Linked DNA regions of Drosophila melanogaster. The gene in region 1 interacts genetically with each later gene. Each region holds a gene or a part of one and is shown in the gene's direction. Other genes may lie near its edges. The genes, in order: hng1, Coop, hng2 and hng3.

The links.
Region 2: of hng1 (region 1) and Coop, changing one enhances a phenotype caused by changing the other (phenotypic enhancement), as found in Drosophila melanogaster (one study listed by BioGRID).
Region 3: of hng1 (region 1) and hng2, changing one enhances a phenotype caused by changing the other (phenotypic enhancement), as found in Drosophila melanogaster (one study listed by BioGRID).
Region 4: of hng1 (region 1) and hng3, changing one enhances a phenotype caused by changing the other (phenotypic enhancement), as found in Drosophila melanogaster (one study listed by BioGRID).

Annotation. Positions count from the first base shown.
Region 1 is NT_033778.4:21,166,858-21,170,698, forward strand, and holds hng1 (hinge1), read left to right. Parts: upstream 1-2,072; 5' UTR 2,073-2,139; coding exon 2,140-3,087; 3' UTR 3,088-3,153; downstream 3,154-3,841. Other genes in the region: Isha (insulator su(Hw) mRNA adaptor), read right to left, coding at 33-185, 315-587, 739-1,326, 1,575-1,604; LSm1 (uncharacterized protein), read right to left, coding at 3,208-3,381, 3,444-3,628, 3,683-3,737.
Region 2 is NT_033778.4:7,490,178-7,494,748, reverse strand, and holds Coop (corepressor of pangolin), read left to right. Parts: upstream 1-2,159; 5' UTR 2,160-2,559; coding exon 2,560-2,803; intron 2,804-2,867; coding exon 2,868-3,700; 3' UTR 3,701-3,913; downstream 3,914-4,571. Other genes in the region: CG1620 (uncharacterized protein), read left to right, coding at 1-380.
Region 3 is NT_033777.3:8,804,343-8,808,367, forward strand, and holds hng2 (hinge2), read left to right. Parts: upstream 1-1,979; 5' UTR 1,980-2,023; coding exon 2,024-2,237; intron 2,238-2,290; coding exon 2,291-2,841; 3' UTR 2,842-3,239; downstream 3,240-4,025. Other genes in the region: CCT7 (chaperonin containing TCP1 subunit 7), read left to right, coding at 1,451-1,677; CG9839 (uncharacterized protein), read right to left, coding at 1-784, 850-1,156.
Region 4 is NT_037436.4:736,911-741,274, reverse strand, and holds hng3 (hinge3), read left to right. Parts: upstream 1-1,925; 5' UTR 1,926-2,154; coding exon 2,155-2,287; intron 2,288-2,542; coding exon 2,543-3,411; 3' UTR 3,412-3,595; downstream 3,596-4,364.

The DNA of each region.
Region 1 (3,841 bases):
TATGTACATCGTCATGAAATCATAAGATGTACCTTCATTACGTTCTGGAAATGCTGCTGCAGTGCCTCGTCCTGATAGCGATGCTTCTGGTTCTCCTCCTGCGGCTTCAAATTTTGGAAGTTCTGCAGCGTATGGAGCTGCCGCAGCACATTCGGATTGTTTAGCAGCTGCTTGATCTTCTTCTCCTGAAAGAGTTATTTAAAAGGTTATTCAAAATGGGATCGATCTAATGTGAGCAACAAAAGCAACAAATAGAAACTTAAGATAAACAAAACTATCTAAATGAAGAGATGTGTTAATGGGGTTCGCCATACGTCTAACAGGTTTGAAGAAGTGGGCGGTGAGTCGTCGCCCATACAGTGGTGATCATCTGCCATCAGCATCTGCAGGCCTTCATCTTCTTCCTCGATGATCTCCCGCACCTGGTAGTCAATGTCGTGCGAGCTCTTGACATATTCCCGTTTGTGATGATGCGACTTGCTGGTCTTCGACGAGCACGAGACCACCGACTGTCGTTTGGAATAGTGTTGCTCCGAGTAGTGACGCTTGGAGCTGCTGCTGCCACCGCCGAACTTCTCATGGCCCAGCTAGCGATTGGGCGAAGGGCAAAATGGGCGGTTAGTGGGCAAGACATGAGAGACAGAGAAATGTAAATGCAGCAGAATTGTAGACGATGTTAGTTAAGCCATTATCCAATACTAGACACCTGTAGAAGCCTCAACCGAAAGCATCACTTACCGACAAGTCGGGCATGGCACCGCCCATCTTATCGTCGCCCCCGGAGCTGTTCATGCTTATCTCCATTCCGGAGCTGTTTAGACCGTTCGGACCGCTCGATATGTCCGCCAGGCTAAGAGCACCGCTGCTGCTGGGTCCTGGACCCACGCCGCCGCCCTGTCCTCCACTGCCACCCACCGGAGGCATCTGGTGGTAGATTGGGTGGTTTGGGTCGGCCAGGTCGAAGATCGGCTGAATGACCTCGGACTTGAAGACGTTGTTTTTCTGCCACAGGTTCAGTACCCGGATGATGCGACTCTTGTCCTCCGGAGCGCACCGGAACAAGTTGGCAAAGGTCTCCGTGAGATTACGCTGGAATCGGGGCGCGAACAGATCCTTGTCCATACCGTACTGGTGGCGCGACTGGCGCACTATCGAGTCGATTACATACAGCCCGGGTACTTTGTACTCCGGCTTGCACTTCAAGATGAACTTCTCCACACTCTGGACGACGTGCTTATACAGCTTGATGGCCCGCATCGCCGACTTGGTGATGGCGGCCATCTTCGCTTTGGAAATGGGCGGTCGGCTGTCATAGAGTCCGGAGAGCTAAGGAGAAATATAGATGTTACAGTACGGCTATAGTTTACGGATATCTGGGACATGGAGTTATCGTTATCGGGTGCTGGCCAAAAAGCAACCCTGAGCGGTGCTGTTCGGTGCTCTGCCTGCGCCTCCAGCAGGATCTGTATACCTCCCGCACATTGGACAATCCGAATACCGACTTCAAGCGGACATTGTGCAACCACGCCGGCTGCTCCATAACGAACCTCGTTTCTAATGCATCTATAGCTTACCTCATTGTTGAAGGCAACCACGGTTTCCATGTTCAATTGCTTGGTTCACTCACGGCACGCACACACAATATTTAGTTTTGCATACTTTGGTTGGTCAACACAATCGTTTAAAACTGGCGAAAAACAATTTTCTCGACCTTTCTGCGGTTTCCACGGCTTTTAAAAAAACTTTTTACAAAGCGTGAAAAAAATGGCTGCCCTAAAGCCTGAAGCGTTGCCAGACCTGTAAAGTTGACATTTTCAAGGCATTTCTGGAAATTGTGCTGTTAATGGCAGTGTGACCGTATGTGGTGCATAACGTTTCGGTATTAAAAAATTTTCCAAATATTTATAAAAAATAAAACGAAATAGAATTTTCATTATGGAATCCAAAAGTTTCATATAAAAAAATAATGACAACAAAATAAAAATGACCTTAAATAAATTTAAATGAAATCAAATCTTCTTAAATGTACTACCTTTTAAAAATAATCGCTATCGGCGGTGTCGATCTTTTTAGCATTGTGTCGATGACAATACATCTGGCAACACTGGTCAATATTAAACATATATTAAACAAATTAAAATGAGCTCAAACCACCGTCCTCTGGACGATTCGGATATCCTCCTAATACAAACCATCCGCGAGACGCCGTCGCTGTACGATCCCCAGCTGCCCTCCTTTCGGCTGTCGCAGCGCAAAGAGGAGGACTGGGCAAAAGTGGCGGATTTGCTAAACATCTCCATCTCAGACGCTCGGCGACGGTGGACGTGTCTGCGGGATCGCTATTCGCGGGAGCTTAAGCAGAAGCGCCTGCATCCGTCCGGCGAGTTTGGTCACAATGACTTCTTTCGGAAGATGGACTTCCTGCGGGACTTTGTGCGCAAGAGACGCGAGCGCAGAGGACGCGAACGGGATCGGGAACAAAAGCCAACCGGGTGGATGAAGGTTGATTTACAGCGACGGCGTCGTACCCGCCTGCCTATTGACACAGAGACCTTGATCGAGGAGCAAGGTTCGCACGCCTACGATGAGGGCGAGGAGCAACACGACTACGACGCTAAGCTGGAGTCTCATACCACACAATCGGAGACGTATTCGGTGGTCGTGGAGGCGGACGATGGGCAGGAGCCCGAACAGGAGAGCTTCGATGAGTTCCTGGGGGATGCGGAGTGCGAGCAAAAGGTCAAGGTGGTCACAATTCATCCGGAAATCGCTGCTCCGAATGCGACGTCCGCACCTGAGCCTATTGAGTCTAACCACGCGGATCTGAACTACTTGGTCTGTATGCCGCCCAATGCGAATCAGGAGCGAGAGCATTCCGCCCCAGAATTACCCAATCCCACGGCCGTCATCACCCAAAAGACTTGCGAAACAGAGGACGACTTCTTTTGCAAGTCGATTGCCGCGTATTTGCGCCAACTGTCGCGCGTGCACAAGATCAAGGCCAAGGTGGAGATGTACCAGATTCTAGAGAAGTACATACTGCTCGAGGAGTGCGGAAAGGGGTCGGGTGCGGGCGGATCAGGCTAAGCAGGTTGCATGCAATATGTACATAGGTTTTAACATAGTTTTTTAATGCAGTACAAATATACAAAGAGACGAAAATCTTTTGAGCTTAATCTAACTTTGTGCTTAGGAAAAAATGGAGTCTTAGCAGAAGTCCTCGTTGATTATGTTGGCATCTACGGCCAGGCCTCGTTCCTTTAGTGCCTTGGATACTAGGCGGTGTTTCTCCTGCCGCTGCTCCTGTTCCCTACGCTGGGCGTCCAGGATTTCATCGACGGATATCTCTTTGAGTGGCAGTTTCTGCTCCTTTTCACGGTCCTTTTACGCATATTTAAAGGGTGTTAATCAGTCATATTGAAAAAGTATCGAGTAAAGCTTACTATTTCGCCCAGTAGCACCACATTCTCCCCGCGAATGATGAAGACTCCGCGAGGAATGTCGCCGTATTCGTTGCCCACATGTATCCGCTCGATGGTGCGTTGCAGCACCAGGTTGGCGAACTGGTCCACGGACCGCAGGTATCCAATCAGAGTCCGTCCGTCTCTCAAAAGTACCATCAGTTTCTCTGCAATGCGCCGGTTTTCAACGACTGGCCTTCCTTTCATTCGGATTTACTCACTGTCAACCTCTTCCAGGAGGTGAGCCGTGCCCGCCAGCGGATTTAAGTCGTCCATGCTATGAAAATATGTGGGATTTAGATAAATAAATAAACTGAAGCAACTAAACTTTGGTCTAAATTTTAGTATTTAATATTAATGTAACCCTCGCTGAAGGGTTT
Region 2 (4,571 bases), about 14 Mb from region 1:
AGAAGAGTGAGCGCCGGGATCAGAGCTTTGCTTTAAACGACACCATCGATCACATGGATGTTTTCATCAACGAGGCGGGCGGTGGCAACGGAAGTGGTAATGGAAATGGTGCCGGGATCGTATCGGGCACCGCTAACAGTAATGGTAGCTGCTCACCGCATAGCAGCAATGGTCACAGCAATGGGGATTTGTCTGCCCTGGAGAAGGATACCATCGCCAGTCCTCGAAAACCCGCCTCTAAGAGCTATTCTATTATGACCGGGAGTCAGGCGGTAGGTAATCCTTCCGGGGGGAACCGAAAGCGATGCTCATCCGCATCTCTGCCCCTGGAGGACGAGGACAACAACGTCGAGGAAGAACCCAGCCTGTCCACAGTGTAAACGACATCTCTATCACAATCACCATCATCATTATCATAACCGAGCGCAGGCGCTTTCGATTCGGTTGGGCCAGGCGATGTATTTGCAGGGCGCTTCATTACCATTACCACTCACTATAAATATGCATACTGTACGTGTAGTATATACCATATGTCTAAACATATATATTCCAGATTCTTAAATCGACATCTCTCATAACCCGTAAAGAATTTCTCTATTGTTAAGTGTGCGATTCGTCTATTTGTTACATGTGCGTGTGGATTCCGGAACCAAGTACTTATCGCTTATATATACAATATATTTTCGCTCAATCCTTGAGTTTCGTTGAATGTCAATAAATGTAATATGTATATCTGTAAAGTCAATTCTATTGTTTTGTCGATATTTGACCAAATGTTTTAAAACCTCCAATAATTTAATGAATTTCAATTCTCAATTTACGAAAGTAATGTATGATCAGAAAAGATAAATATATATGTACATCGAAAGCTTTGTAGACTCACAGGTAAGATTCGCTACAAATCAGATACTAATATTACATAAAAGTACATCTTAGATATCTTAGATGAGCATGATTTATTTTATTTGGTTCAAAACAAAGTATGCATCATATTATTAATTTATTCGGCCTAGTATTTTCCCCTTTAAAAGCCTTTGTTTACATATAGAAGAAACAATATTTAAACGAAAATTAACCAAATTTTATCAAATATGCATTAGTTTAATCGCTACTTAAAAGACAAGCTGACGGATTTCAAATAACCATCTTAACGAAAGATCAATCGTACTCCGTATTCCCTAAAAGTTAACCGGATCGGAAACAAAGAACCGGTCCGTATAAATATACATACATATCTCGTATACATAGATACTTAGGTATGTCTGTATCTTTTCCCCAGTTTTCTTTGCAAGGCGTTCTTGAAAATGGCCAATTACGGTGTTGGATTCCCATTTATTGGCCGCATGTCTGTCCACGTACATTGTGCATACGAATGTGTGTGTGTGTTTTTCGCACTGTGGGTAGAAAGACGAGTATAAATTGCGGCGAGGATCAAATGTCAGGCTGAAACCCAACCGCAAAGCTACAGAAGATCTGATAAATAACCCCGGTCGCCACTTGTCATGTCTGCTTCACTTGCATTTTCGCAGTCCCAAGAAGAGGAGACTCAACCCGAAACGTGCAAGCATACACGTATAAACATTAATATGTACGTGTGTACACATATACAGACAACGGATACAGTCTTCGGTTCCAGGCTCACGATCGTTCCAGCTGGAGCTTTTGTTCCCACACACCCTCGTCTGTATATAGAAATGTACATATGTATGTGCGCTGTGGCGGTGGCTCCACTGGCGTGGCGTGAATTTTGTACGTTCCCTCCAGCTCCATTTCCAAGCGACCCAGCCAGCCGACCGTAGTAAAATCCAGTTTTGATAAAAATAAACAAAGTACACTACACCGCTCTCTATACGCTACACTATGAATTTCCAGTCTCTGCGGCTGGGTCACCTGGAAAAGGATCTCCTTTCGCGTAACGGGAGGGTGGGCCATAGAGCTCTATGTAAAGACTTTTACCGCTAAAGCGCGTGACATGTCCGCTCAAGTCGCTGTACGGGTGGAATTCTATTGCAATAGCCGTTTTCGGTGCAGAGCATATTAGATTCGTTACGGTGGGCTCACAATGGCGAAGTTAACAACCGTAAAAAGCGCAAATACGACACAGAGTTGCGGCCAGCGCAGCGGAAGCTTAACATCCGGATAATATTGCCAGGCAGCTCAGTTGTTGTTCTGCCGCCTCGCCTGCGCCTGCTTCTTCTTCTTCTGCTTCTCCTGCTTCTTCTTCCTCTTCTTGGGTCTTCTGTTCGTGGCAAAGCCTGTTGCTCAAGCCTCTCTCCTCCTTCCCGATCCCGCAGCTCCGCCTTCGCCTTTGCCTGTGCCGTCGCAACCAGCTCCGTCCGCTCTTTCCACAATTCTCTCTCGGCACCGCCAAAAGGCACGTAAACTGGTTGTTGCTGGCTGGGCCGTACACTTCGTGGTGCCCGTATTTTTCGTATTTTCAGTGCTGCCTGAACGCTTGAGCTGCGCGAGTCGCTTGCCGGGAAACTCGGAGTTGGAATCGGAACTGGATCTGGCTAACTAGCTATCGGGCTATCGGAAATTGGCCACTCGGATCTGGACATGGAGATGGCCTACAATGCGTCATCGTCGGCGGCCTCCGTCGGCTCTGCTTCTGCCGCCGCCTCTGCCACCGCCTCCTTCGCCTTCACCAACACCGCCAAGCTGCCCATCGAAACGGTGAAGCGCCTGATTGCCGCCGTCTCACGACGTCCGATGTTGTGGCTGCGCAACAATGCCAATGGCCAGAAGCGCAGCGACATCACGCCTGTTTGGTTCGAGGTGGGTCAGGATGTGAATTTGCCAGGTGAGTGTATGGCTGACTATTTCTCCTCTGCGCTTTCCGCTAAAATGACTCCCCCCTTTCACAGCCGACATCTGCCGAATTAAGTGGGGCCACCTGAGGGACAACTTTCGCAAGGTGTACATCCGCAATAACCTGTCCAATGAGACGCCCTCGTCGTGGCGCTTCTACAACGATATGCGGTTCATGGAGCCCGCCGTTCACGAGAATATCATGCGTCAGACGCGAAGCAGCAGCAAGAAGCACCCACCCGGACACTGGACGGAGAACAATAATGTGCTGGGGCCGGACAAGTATGACTCAATGCCCATTGTTGCTACGGAGCCCATATGCGAGCTCAGCCACAGCTATGACTCGGAGCTACACCAGCCCAGCTTCTCGGACATCAGTTCGTTCTTCGAGGATCGCGACTGCCAGCCGCCGGAGAATAAGAGATTTAAGTCGGAGCCCAGTCAGAGGGAGGAGGACGAGGAGGATGACGATGACTTCGACGAAGATGCCGCCTCGGAGAACTTGGAAGAGGAACGCGGCAATCGTGCCGATGCTGCCAGTTCCGGTGTATTCACCATAGAAGTGCTCGATGACGACGACGAAATGGAGCAGGCGGTGACCAAGACCAAGGCGAATAACACTAGCCACGGCGGATCCAGCCTGAAGAGCGAGCAGGAGGCCAAGGTGTTCTCCAATTCGCAGTCACCCACCGCCGATCTGCCATTCAAGTATATCAGCACGGATGTGGCCACGAATACGGATCCCTCTGGTGGAGATCTCCAGGACGAGGCGGATCGCATGTTCCTGCTCAGTCTGATGCCCTTCCTGCAAAGATTGGACAGCCGCCGGCGTCTGCGCGTGCGCCAGAAATTACAGAACGTGCTCATCGAGGAACTGGAGTTTGGCTGAGGACGCGTATATCCGGGGGAATGTGGGGAGATTTACTTTATAAGCCTAGCTTACAGTATTATAAGAACGCGACTGACTAACTCTGTGAATCTGCCTACATACGTAGCATGTAATCAGTATTCCGGCCTGCTTTCCTTCATACCAACACACTTCAATACATACCATATTGCATTACAATACATATTTACACTTCAAATAGACGATCACGCCAGCATGATTACTTGTTTCTTCCTCAGGATAACCGCTCACTTTTACCTGTATCTGCGCTCCGGTGCACCTGCGCCTTTTACCTGCGCACCCCGCCCGCAGTTCGAGTTCCCAATTATCCACGGTCACTGTTGCAATTGCATTTTTCCAGCCACGGGCGGCTCAAAATTTCTGTCAGTGCAAAACAAGTTCTTTAAGGGTGGTGCACGCGGCAACAACAACAACCACAAGGTGATTCCCTCCGCATTTTCGCGCCACATGCGCCGTTAATGCTAATGTACCGCGCTCTCGCTCGCTCTCTCCGCTCACCAATCACAATGCGCTCCGGATGGGCGAAACTTGGTCGAGCCTAGGCAACTTGATAATTCCCTTTTGGTGTGTTGTGTTTTTTGCCTGAAAACATCTCCCCATGTTTTAAAAATGATTCAAAGCTTTCGTTGAATAATGGCGGGCTTAACAGTTCTGCGATTTGCTTAATAGGGTCCAATTGGATGGAGTTTAACTTTCAAAAACTTTCGCTAAACAGAAAGCTCATCTTCTAATGAGTAGAGTCTGAAATTTAGACGCAGAATCCATAAAAATTCTTAGTGGTTCATGCATTGTTGTTAAAATGTTGAATGCTGTTTTGTCTTTTCGGAACTCATTTGGAATTCCAAAATTTAAG
Region 3 (4,025 bases), on another chromosome or scaffold:
TCCTGAGCCAGGCCGTAGCTTCCATAGAACTTTGAGGTGTACACAGTGCGTCCTCCATGGTAACCCTCCATTAGTTTCAGGACAATCTTGTTTCGGTGCTCCACCAACTGCCGGGAATTGCGTACCCATGCCGGTGCGTCTTCCTTCCGCACAATCTCCGGTAGAATCTTCACCACCAAACCGCTCTGCTCAGTTAGCATATGCAGCAGTAGTGCGTTGGTGCGGAATTTGTTTGGAAGTTCATCCTGGTATCTTAATGCACCCTTCCACAGAGTGATAGGTTCATTGAGCACCAGTTGCTGGCCACAAATGTATATCTCTTCCATACGCTCGTTGATAAAGTCTAGCAGTAGAGAGTTCTTCACTTTGGCTCTGCCCGCTTGTAGCTGCGGTGCATCAAAGTTAAGGCAGTGCAGCAGCTGCTGATACCGTTCCAGAGGAATCTTCCCAGAGAATCCGACGAGACCGTAAAACATGTTAGTGCTCCAGTAATCCGATAGGTGCTCCAGCTTCAGGTCACACATAAGCAGGGAAAGCGCCATAAAGATTTCCATTTCTTCGGCAGTTGTGGGATTGGACTTGAGCTCTCCTCCCTTTAGGTTGCAGCTTTGGGCCAGGGAACTGAAGAACTTGGAGCGATTTCCCAGCACTTGGTTGAAGTAGTGCTGTGGTCCCTGGAAGCGTTGTCCGAATTTCAGGCCACTCTGCTGGATGGGAAATTTGAAGAGCAGTCGGGAACCCGTCTGCTGGCTGGACCAATCTGGATCGTAGTCATCCATATCGTCTGGGTTTAAAAAGGATAATTTTATAAGTGGGGTCTTGAAATGACGGGAGGAGCACCCTTCTTACCCTGACAGAAGACATCTTCAGCTTGGTAATCGAGCTCTGAGTAGCCATCCTCGTCGGAATCACTCTCTTGCTGTTCCAATTCCAAGCGAATGGTGTTGCTGGCCGCCTGCTGCTCCGCCACCAGCTGCAATTGGAGTTCAGTGAGATCCGGCTTGATATCGGCCGTACTTAAATCGTAGTCTGCTAGCGCCGGATAGCCGTCCAAGGGTTCCGACTTGATGTCCACACTGCGTCGCTTCACCGGCGACCGGTGATCGTCCTGACGCGGCTTAAGTTGCTGCTTGCGCTTTCTTCCGGAGCTGGACATTTCGTTTGGCTGCGTTTTCTCTTCCAAATAATGTAAATACAGAGGAAATTTTAGCCGCAGCAACGCGTGTTTTTCTTCGACCTCACTGTCACTCGTCCTCTCTCACTCGAGTCACATGTGCTGTATGTTGTGCTCTTTCGCACCTTCTCAATTCGTTTATTGCGCGGGCTGTAAGCGGCGTTGCCACCTGAACGAAATGTTACCTGCAAAAATCGTTGGCGAATTCAAATCGGTCGTGTAATTTTGAACTCTAATTAATAATTATTATAATTTTATACATTTACCTTTTTACAGGAGGACAGTGGTACGGCGTCGACATCAACAAGGAAGACATTTCGGACAACTATGAGCAGTGCGTCTGGGAGCCGTCCATCATTAAGATCAATGCACTGACGGCGGCCGCCGAGGCAGCCTGCATGATCCTTTCCGTCGATGAGACAATAAAGAGTCCCAAGGCCGGAGAACCCCCGATGGCCGGCGGTGGCATGGGAATGGGCCGCGGAATGGGCAGGCCCATGTAAATAGAATCATTCAGAAATCCAGAGAACACTACACCCTAATCATCAAAACTCACTTGCATTTCTCTCCTAATTTAACACGTACACGTATTACTCGGTCATACCTTCGCATTTCGCACGCTTCGAAGCAAGAACAACAGCAACAATAATCCACTGACCTATCTGTATATGTTTAATAATAAAACACAAAATTGAAATTTGTATTTTCATAACATCAGAACGTTTTTAGTTTAAATGCGGGGCGAGGTGGCAACTCTGCGGGGAGTGCTGTTAAGCAGCTGCCCGTGGTGCTGTTAAACGCAAGCAACATATTGTCAATCCAATCCAACCCTTAAATAAACAATAAATAATGGGCAATCATAAAGTTCTTCGATCGGCAGGAAGCAATTTGCGCTATTCGATGTACGAGTTCATTGACGCGGTACACAAACGTTCTATTATATGGGAACGAAGCCACCCAAACTTCCATAACCGCGAACTCAGAGATGAGGCCTGGCAGCAAATTGGCCACGAGCTTTGCTCGAATTTTGACGACTCCAGCGAGCCGGAGAAGCAGGAAATAGGTAGGTGGTGGCTACCTTTTTGAGTCTATATCATACATAACTTCCAATTCCAGTTAAAACACTGCTCAAACGTTGGAAAAACACGAGGGACAGCTACCTACGGGTCAACCGACTACGTCAAAGTGGCGAGGAGGTGGCCAGAGCTTCCTACATCTACGAAAAGGAACTGAGTTTCCTGCTGAACGTGAAAGCAGAGTCGGAGGACGATGTAGAATCCTTGAAGGAGCAACCCAAGCCCCAGGCCAAACGGAAGCGAGTGAGCACTGCCGCACAGAGATCTGCAAAGACTCCACGAAAGAGAAACTCCGACCAAGAATCGAATATTGAGCCTGCCATCCGCAATCCAGCCATACCAAGCAACATAAATACGGTTCTGGGAGATCTGGGCTGCGCCAAGGAGGACACCGCCACTCCGGAAATCGCATATATTCCACAGTTACCATCAGATCCACCCTGCAGTACAAATACCGCCTACTTGTCCGCCGATCCTGATCAGGCCTTCTTCGACACCATTAAGCCTCACATGCAGCAGATGTGCGCCGATCGCAAGCTTGACTTTCAGATCGAGGTCCTGAAAATCCTACGAAACTTCAAGCCGAATTGAATATTCACTACAGAAGTCAAATCATTTACAAATGCATTTACAAGAAGGGCAAAATTCGTTTAACAGCAAGTTAACATAAGCAATAAGAATACATTTAATCGTTATCGTAAATCGTCTAATCTTTAGGGCGCGAAATTTAAATAATGAACTGTAATTTGTAATTTAATATACAAACAATAATATTCACAAACCAGGGGTTAAACTTTAATGCAACCAATGATTCAATTATTTTTTTTAGTTCTTAATAATGCGTCAAATAGTTTTCTCATAGTAACTTCTGTGTTTTGCGCAATGTATATATTATACGCTTACTTTTGTAATTTTTGATAATAATACAATAGTTGTAGAGTTATTTAAGACAATGAAAAAAACATTAAAAACAACATTAAATAATGTATAAAAAATATGCATTTTATTTTGTTTTAAACCATAAATTATCTAACGACGGCAATATATTTTTATACGTGGGTTTCAATATCAATTTCATACAACATGGATTTGTATGGAATTTCATATGAATATATATGCTCATATGTATATTAACTATGTATGCAAGCAAATTGTCCACATGTGTAATTGATATTTTTACATAAATCCCATGTTCTGTTATTCATCCCCCTAGCCACTACTTTCTTGGGCCGGATGCTGTCTCAATACATATTTATCGCCTGCAGCGAAATTTTAGTATAAACATAAACTGTCAAAACGATACATAAGCCATCGGATGGCCCATGTTCCAAAGCCGTTTGACCAGTTTCGGCTGATGTTGATACAAAAAAGAGTTGAAACCTGTATTCATACAGCTTGTACCTCTTATGCCAATCGAGTTTTCATTATGTATACCGATTTCTTCATGGTTTTTGTTCAACACAAAGGCACATTTATGGATTGTACGAGCGTATTTATAAGTCGACACTCCAGACGACACCCCTAAAAAGAAATCGCTGAAAACCGTTAAGGAACCCATAGGGGTAACACAGAGATTTGGATGCGGTGTCGGCTTTCAAGCGTTCCACACTGCTGGGAATTCCCTGAGTACCATCTATGGGGGGTACGACGATATCGTTACCCCGAATACCCGCCCCCACAATTCACCCGACAAATGGTACTCGTAACGTCCTGATGATGCCGTTCTCCTCGGGATCGCCCCATTCCATTTCCCACTTAACTGCATATGGTTTTTG
Region 4 (4,364 bases), on another chromosome or scaffold:
AACTAACTGTTTTTCTGCCGCTCTCTGGCAGTTGGTTATTTATTATGTTGTTGCAGTTGCAATTAACACGGCAGCAACATGCCGCATTTTCCACAACAATGGCCAAAAGCAAATGTTGCATGTGGGAGTTGCAGTTGCAGTCGCAGTCGCAGTTGCTTTTGCGATGTTGCTGCTGTCGATTTGCGGCGCGTGTTGCAGACGTGAAACCAGCAGTAGTCAGTCTGCCAGTCTGCCAGTCTGCCAGTCTACCAGTTTTCAAGCCAGCCGAACCCAGACATATGGCCGAGATAAGCGGCATAATTATGCAAATTTGTTATAACAATCAGCGGCACCACAGCAACAACAACTGCAATTCCAAGACGACGGCCACATTTTATGGGCAGCGTTAAACGCCGTCAACAGCAATTGCAATTGCCATTTATGGGGCGTTAGAATCTAAGTTAGTACATAATCGCTTGAGATAGTTTTTTATTTATTTGCCTATATTTAATAACCATACCCGCCATCTCAAGACTTGGCTCTACCATCGATAAGATCCCCTAGGAATCATCGAACAAAGCCTTCATAAATCGCCTTGGGCCGGCCCATAAAAATCTTGGAAACTACGTTTGGAAATTTGAATACAAACATTGACAATTGACAGAGTCCGTCGACGACATTGGGCAGCAACAAATCAATTGCAGCAGCAGCAACATTCTCGTGCATATGGTAGGATACAGTTAGAAAAAATTCTTGCTTCTCACAGAATATCTCAAATGTTCGATACCTCTGATAAGCCACTTCATTACTACTTAAGCAAAAGGTAACTTTTGTGTGGTGCTTGCAACTGCATTTGCAACAGCATTTGCAACATTCGAAGCCATTCTTTCTGCGAGTGCCTTTGGTATTAAGATTCCTTAGTGGCTAGGCTCGATCATTGTTTTCCATTCTCCATTCTGGCTGGTGACTACGCATGCATAAATGCCTTTATAATCATTTCGTTGAACAAAATTTAGACGTCACTTGGCTGTCAGTTGGGGCTTGATCGCCTGACGAGACGGACATGTGGAAGACTTTGCAGGAGCAGCCACGTCGGGGATCGGAGGTCGAGCTGGGGATCGGAGGAGAGCCAGGGCACCAGATCATGTCCATATTTGCATTTTTGAAATGACACATGGAAATTTTCGATGTTTTGCCTTTTGAAAGCGAGCGGCCAACAGATTGACAGCAGCTGCAACTGATGACAACAGCAACATGAGACAAACATAACAGCATAGCAGCAGCAGCAACAATGGCCTGGAATGGCAAGCGAAAGTCGTGCGCAAATCCGACCAGGGGACAGCATATGGATATGCTGCTCCATGTGCTATATATGCTATATGGATATAGACGGAGATAATTGCTGTCGCATATTTTCCACGTCCACTTGTTGTCGCCGACTTAGCTGCAGCAACATGTGTTGCTCTCGGCTTTTGGCCGGCTGCCTTTTTGGGCTACGGCGATGGCAACATGTTGCAACCGTCCAACCGTCGAGCGTCCGGCTGTGCAAATATTTGGAACTTCCCCCGGTGGGAAGATACTTGGCGGGCCTATCATCATGGCCAGCACATGTGCGCCATATAGCAAGGGTTTTCACGCATTTCGGCCCACTGTGCGAGCGCAAGTTGAATATCTGGCCAAGCAGCAGCGGCAACAACAACAGCAACATCAGCCATAACAACACGCGAGAATAAAACGCAAATAATATGTGTGTATATTGCAAAAGGCGAGTGAAAAACGTTCCAGAGAGATTTTATAATTGATGGGTGTATGCACTTTCCAAATGCTCTTTAAATAGCAAAAATCGGGTAACGAGTCCCTTTCCTACAATCAAGTGATAAAAAATAAATAGAAATTGAATGGTAAATAAGGAACTATATTTTTATTATCCAACTTTTACCTATATTGGAAATTGTGTGGAAATTTTAAAATCTCGAACGGAAAACACGTGCAGCAAACAGACGGTAAGCACGGCGTTGAGCACACAGCACCTTTCTCCGCGTTCTCTGAGAGACTTCCAGTCGAGAGCGAAACCAAAACTTATGGGGCTATTTTGAGAGAAAGCGCTCTCTGCTCTCTGCGCCAGGGAAGTTTAGCACCGCATTTTGCTCAGTTCGCCAATAAAGACGCTGCAACATGGACATGCACAGGCTGATCTTCGAGGTGCAGCAGCGCCGGGCTCTCTGGGACGCGAGGCATCCGGACCACGCCAACCGACCGGAGACCCAGCGCCTCTGGAACGCCGTCGCGGAGGCCACCGGAATGGATGGTGAGTGCACTGAGCGAAATCGGGATCAATATTCGGGTCAACACAAAAATCCAATTGGAACTAATTAAAATTATGATAATTTTAGATTAATTAGAAAATTGTTAATGCGAAGTACTAGTATTATTTTTTAGTATTTTATGGTTTTTTCAAATTAATTATTACATTAGTATTAAACTTTTTTCGGTGTACTTTGTAATGAGTGCTTTGTTTACATTCTCTTTTCTTAATCGCGTATACCACGCTCTGACATTTCAGTTGAGCTTTGCCGAACCAAATGGAAAAATCTGCGTTGTAGTTATCGCCGAAGTAACCGGCGTAGTGGGATCTTGAAGCATCAGCAGTCGCCCTCGCCGGGTCACCAGTGGTCATATGCGGAGGCCATGAGCTTCCTGGACGGCCAAAGGGAGGAATGTGATAACAGCAACAACGGGGAGGAGGAGATGGAGAGTGCACTCAAGATTGAAGCCGAGCATATGCCCATGTTGTCGACCTTTAAGAGCGAGCAAGTCTCAGCTGCGGATGAAATGGAGGCGGACAACGATGCGCTGATGCGCGAATTCCAGAACGTGTCCACTCCCCAGGCGTTGCGAAGGCTCTCCGAGAACATCTCCCTGGCCAGTGCGGCGGCGGAGGAGCAGGTGCCTTCCACTGCCGACCAATTGAGTCCGAATTTGAATCAGGGAAGTGCCATTGCTGCCGCAGCAGCCAGCAGTTGCCATTGCGCGAAGAGGGTGGACGAACAGGTCAACTTCCTGGAGAGTCTGGAACGCGAGGAGCAGCAGCTGATGCAGTCCACCAGCCAGGATCTGGCCAGGTGCAAGAGTGTCCTCCATGTGGGCGACTCCGACTACAACTACCTGATCAGCTTTCTGCCGCTGATGAAGCAAATGACGCCCTTCCAGAATGTCTTCTTCAGGGCCAAGATGGGGGAGCTACTGCTGCAGACAATGCAACAGCCGCCGGTGCAGCAGCAACCGCAGCAACAGCAGCAACTGCAACTGCAACTGCAACAGCAACCTGAGCAACGACAGCAGCAGCAGCAGCCCTCGCAAATGTTGTTGAACCAACAGCAAATGGCCTTGGATCAGGCGCAAGTGAGCACAAGCTCCACGAATTGGAACTGAATCGAGGATTGCAGCCGAGCAAAATAAGATATACAATGCCCCCCTTAATGTTAAGTGTGCGAACTGGACAAGAGCGCGAGCACCACTGTGCGCAGGTTCAGTGCACAGTGGTTCGATTTGGCTGAGATTACTTTTGAATTTTATCATTGCACATAATAAAAGCTATATATAATTTTAAGTCTTCAAATTGAGGGTCTTATTTGCTTGATGTTTAGCAAACTTAAACATGTTTAACAAACTGCAAACTATTACCAGGGCTGCCGGAATTTAACTTAGAAGCTAAAAAGGCTAAATTTAAATCTAATCCTTTATTGATTACCAGGGCTGAAAACTCTTTGTTATTTTTCTTCTAAGTTGGCTGTTTTTTTAATGCCACACTATTGGAACGACATTTGTTAAATGAAGTCAAAGCGACCAATAATCTTGACGATTAAGTAAGAATACATTCGAAGTTGGCGTGGAGCTACCAAAATAAGTACAGCTAATTCAGTTTTGTGTGCTTTCCAATCCAAGGCAAACATTATCAAAAAATGGCCAAGAAGATTTTGTCAGCGTCATCCAAACTAAACATCGACCAGAATTATCCATCCGGGTTTATAAAGCAAATGGTAATAAATCCGGTTATGAGCGCCATGACAATCCAGGATGAGGAGGCCAAGATGCAGAAGTTGAAAGAGATTCTTCAGATGCTAGAAGCGGTGAATAATAAATTGATGAGTCAGCTGCCTATCGACGTTCTTATAAAGATGTTGTAAATTATTAAATACAGCGATGTGATGGTATTCACATACGATAACTGCTCTTGAAGTTTCAATTGGGTGTCGCCCAGTATCCATCCGGAATGCCATGCGATGCATGGCACACTATTTTAGTACGATTATTGGGCCCTCTGCCTGCGCGTTCAATGCACTGCATTCTGCTCTGCCCCGCTCCCAGCTTCAGCAGAGTAAGCC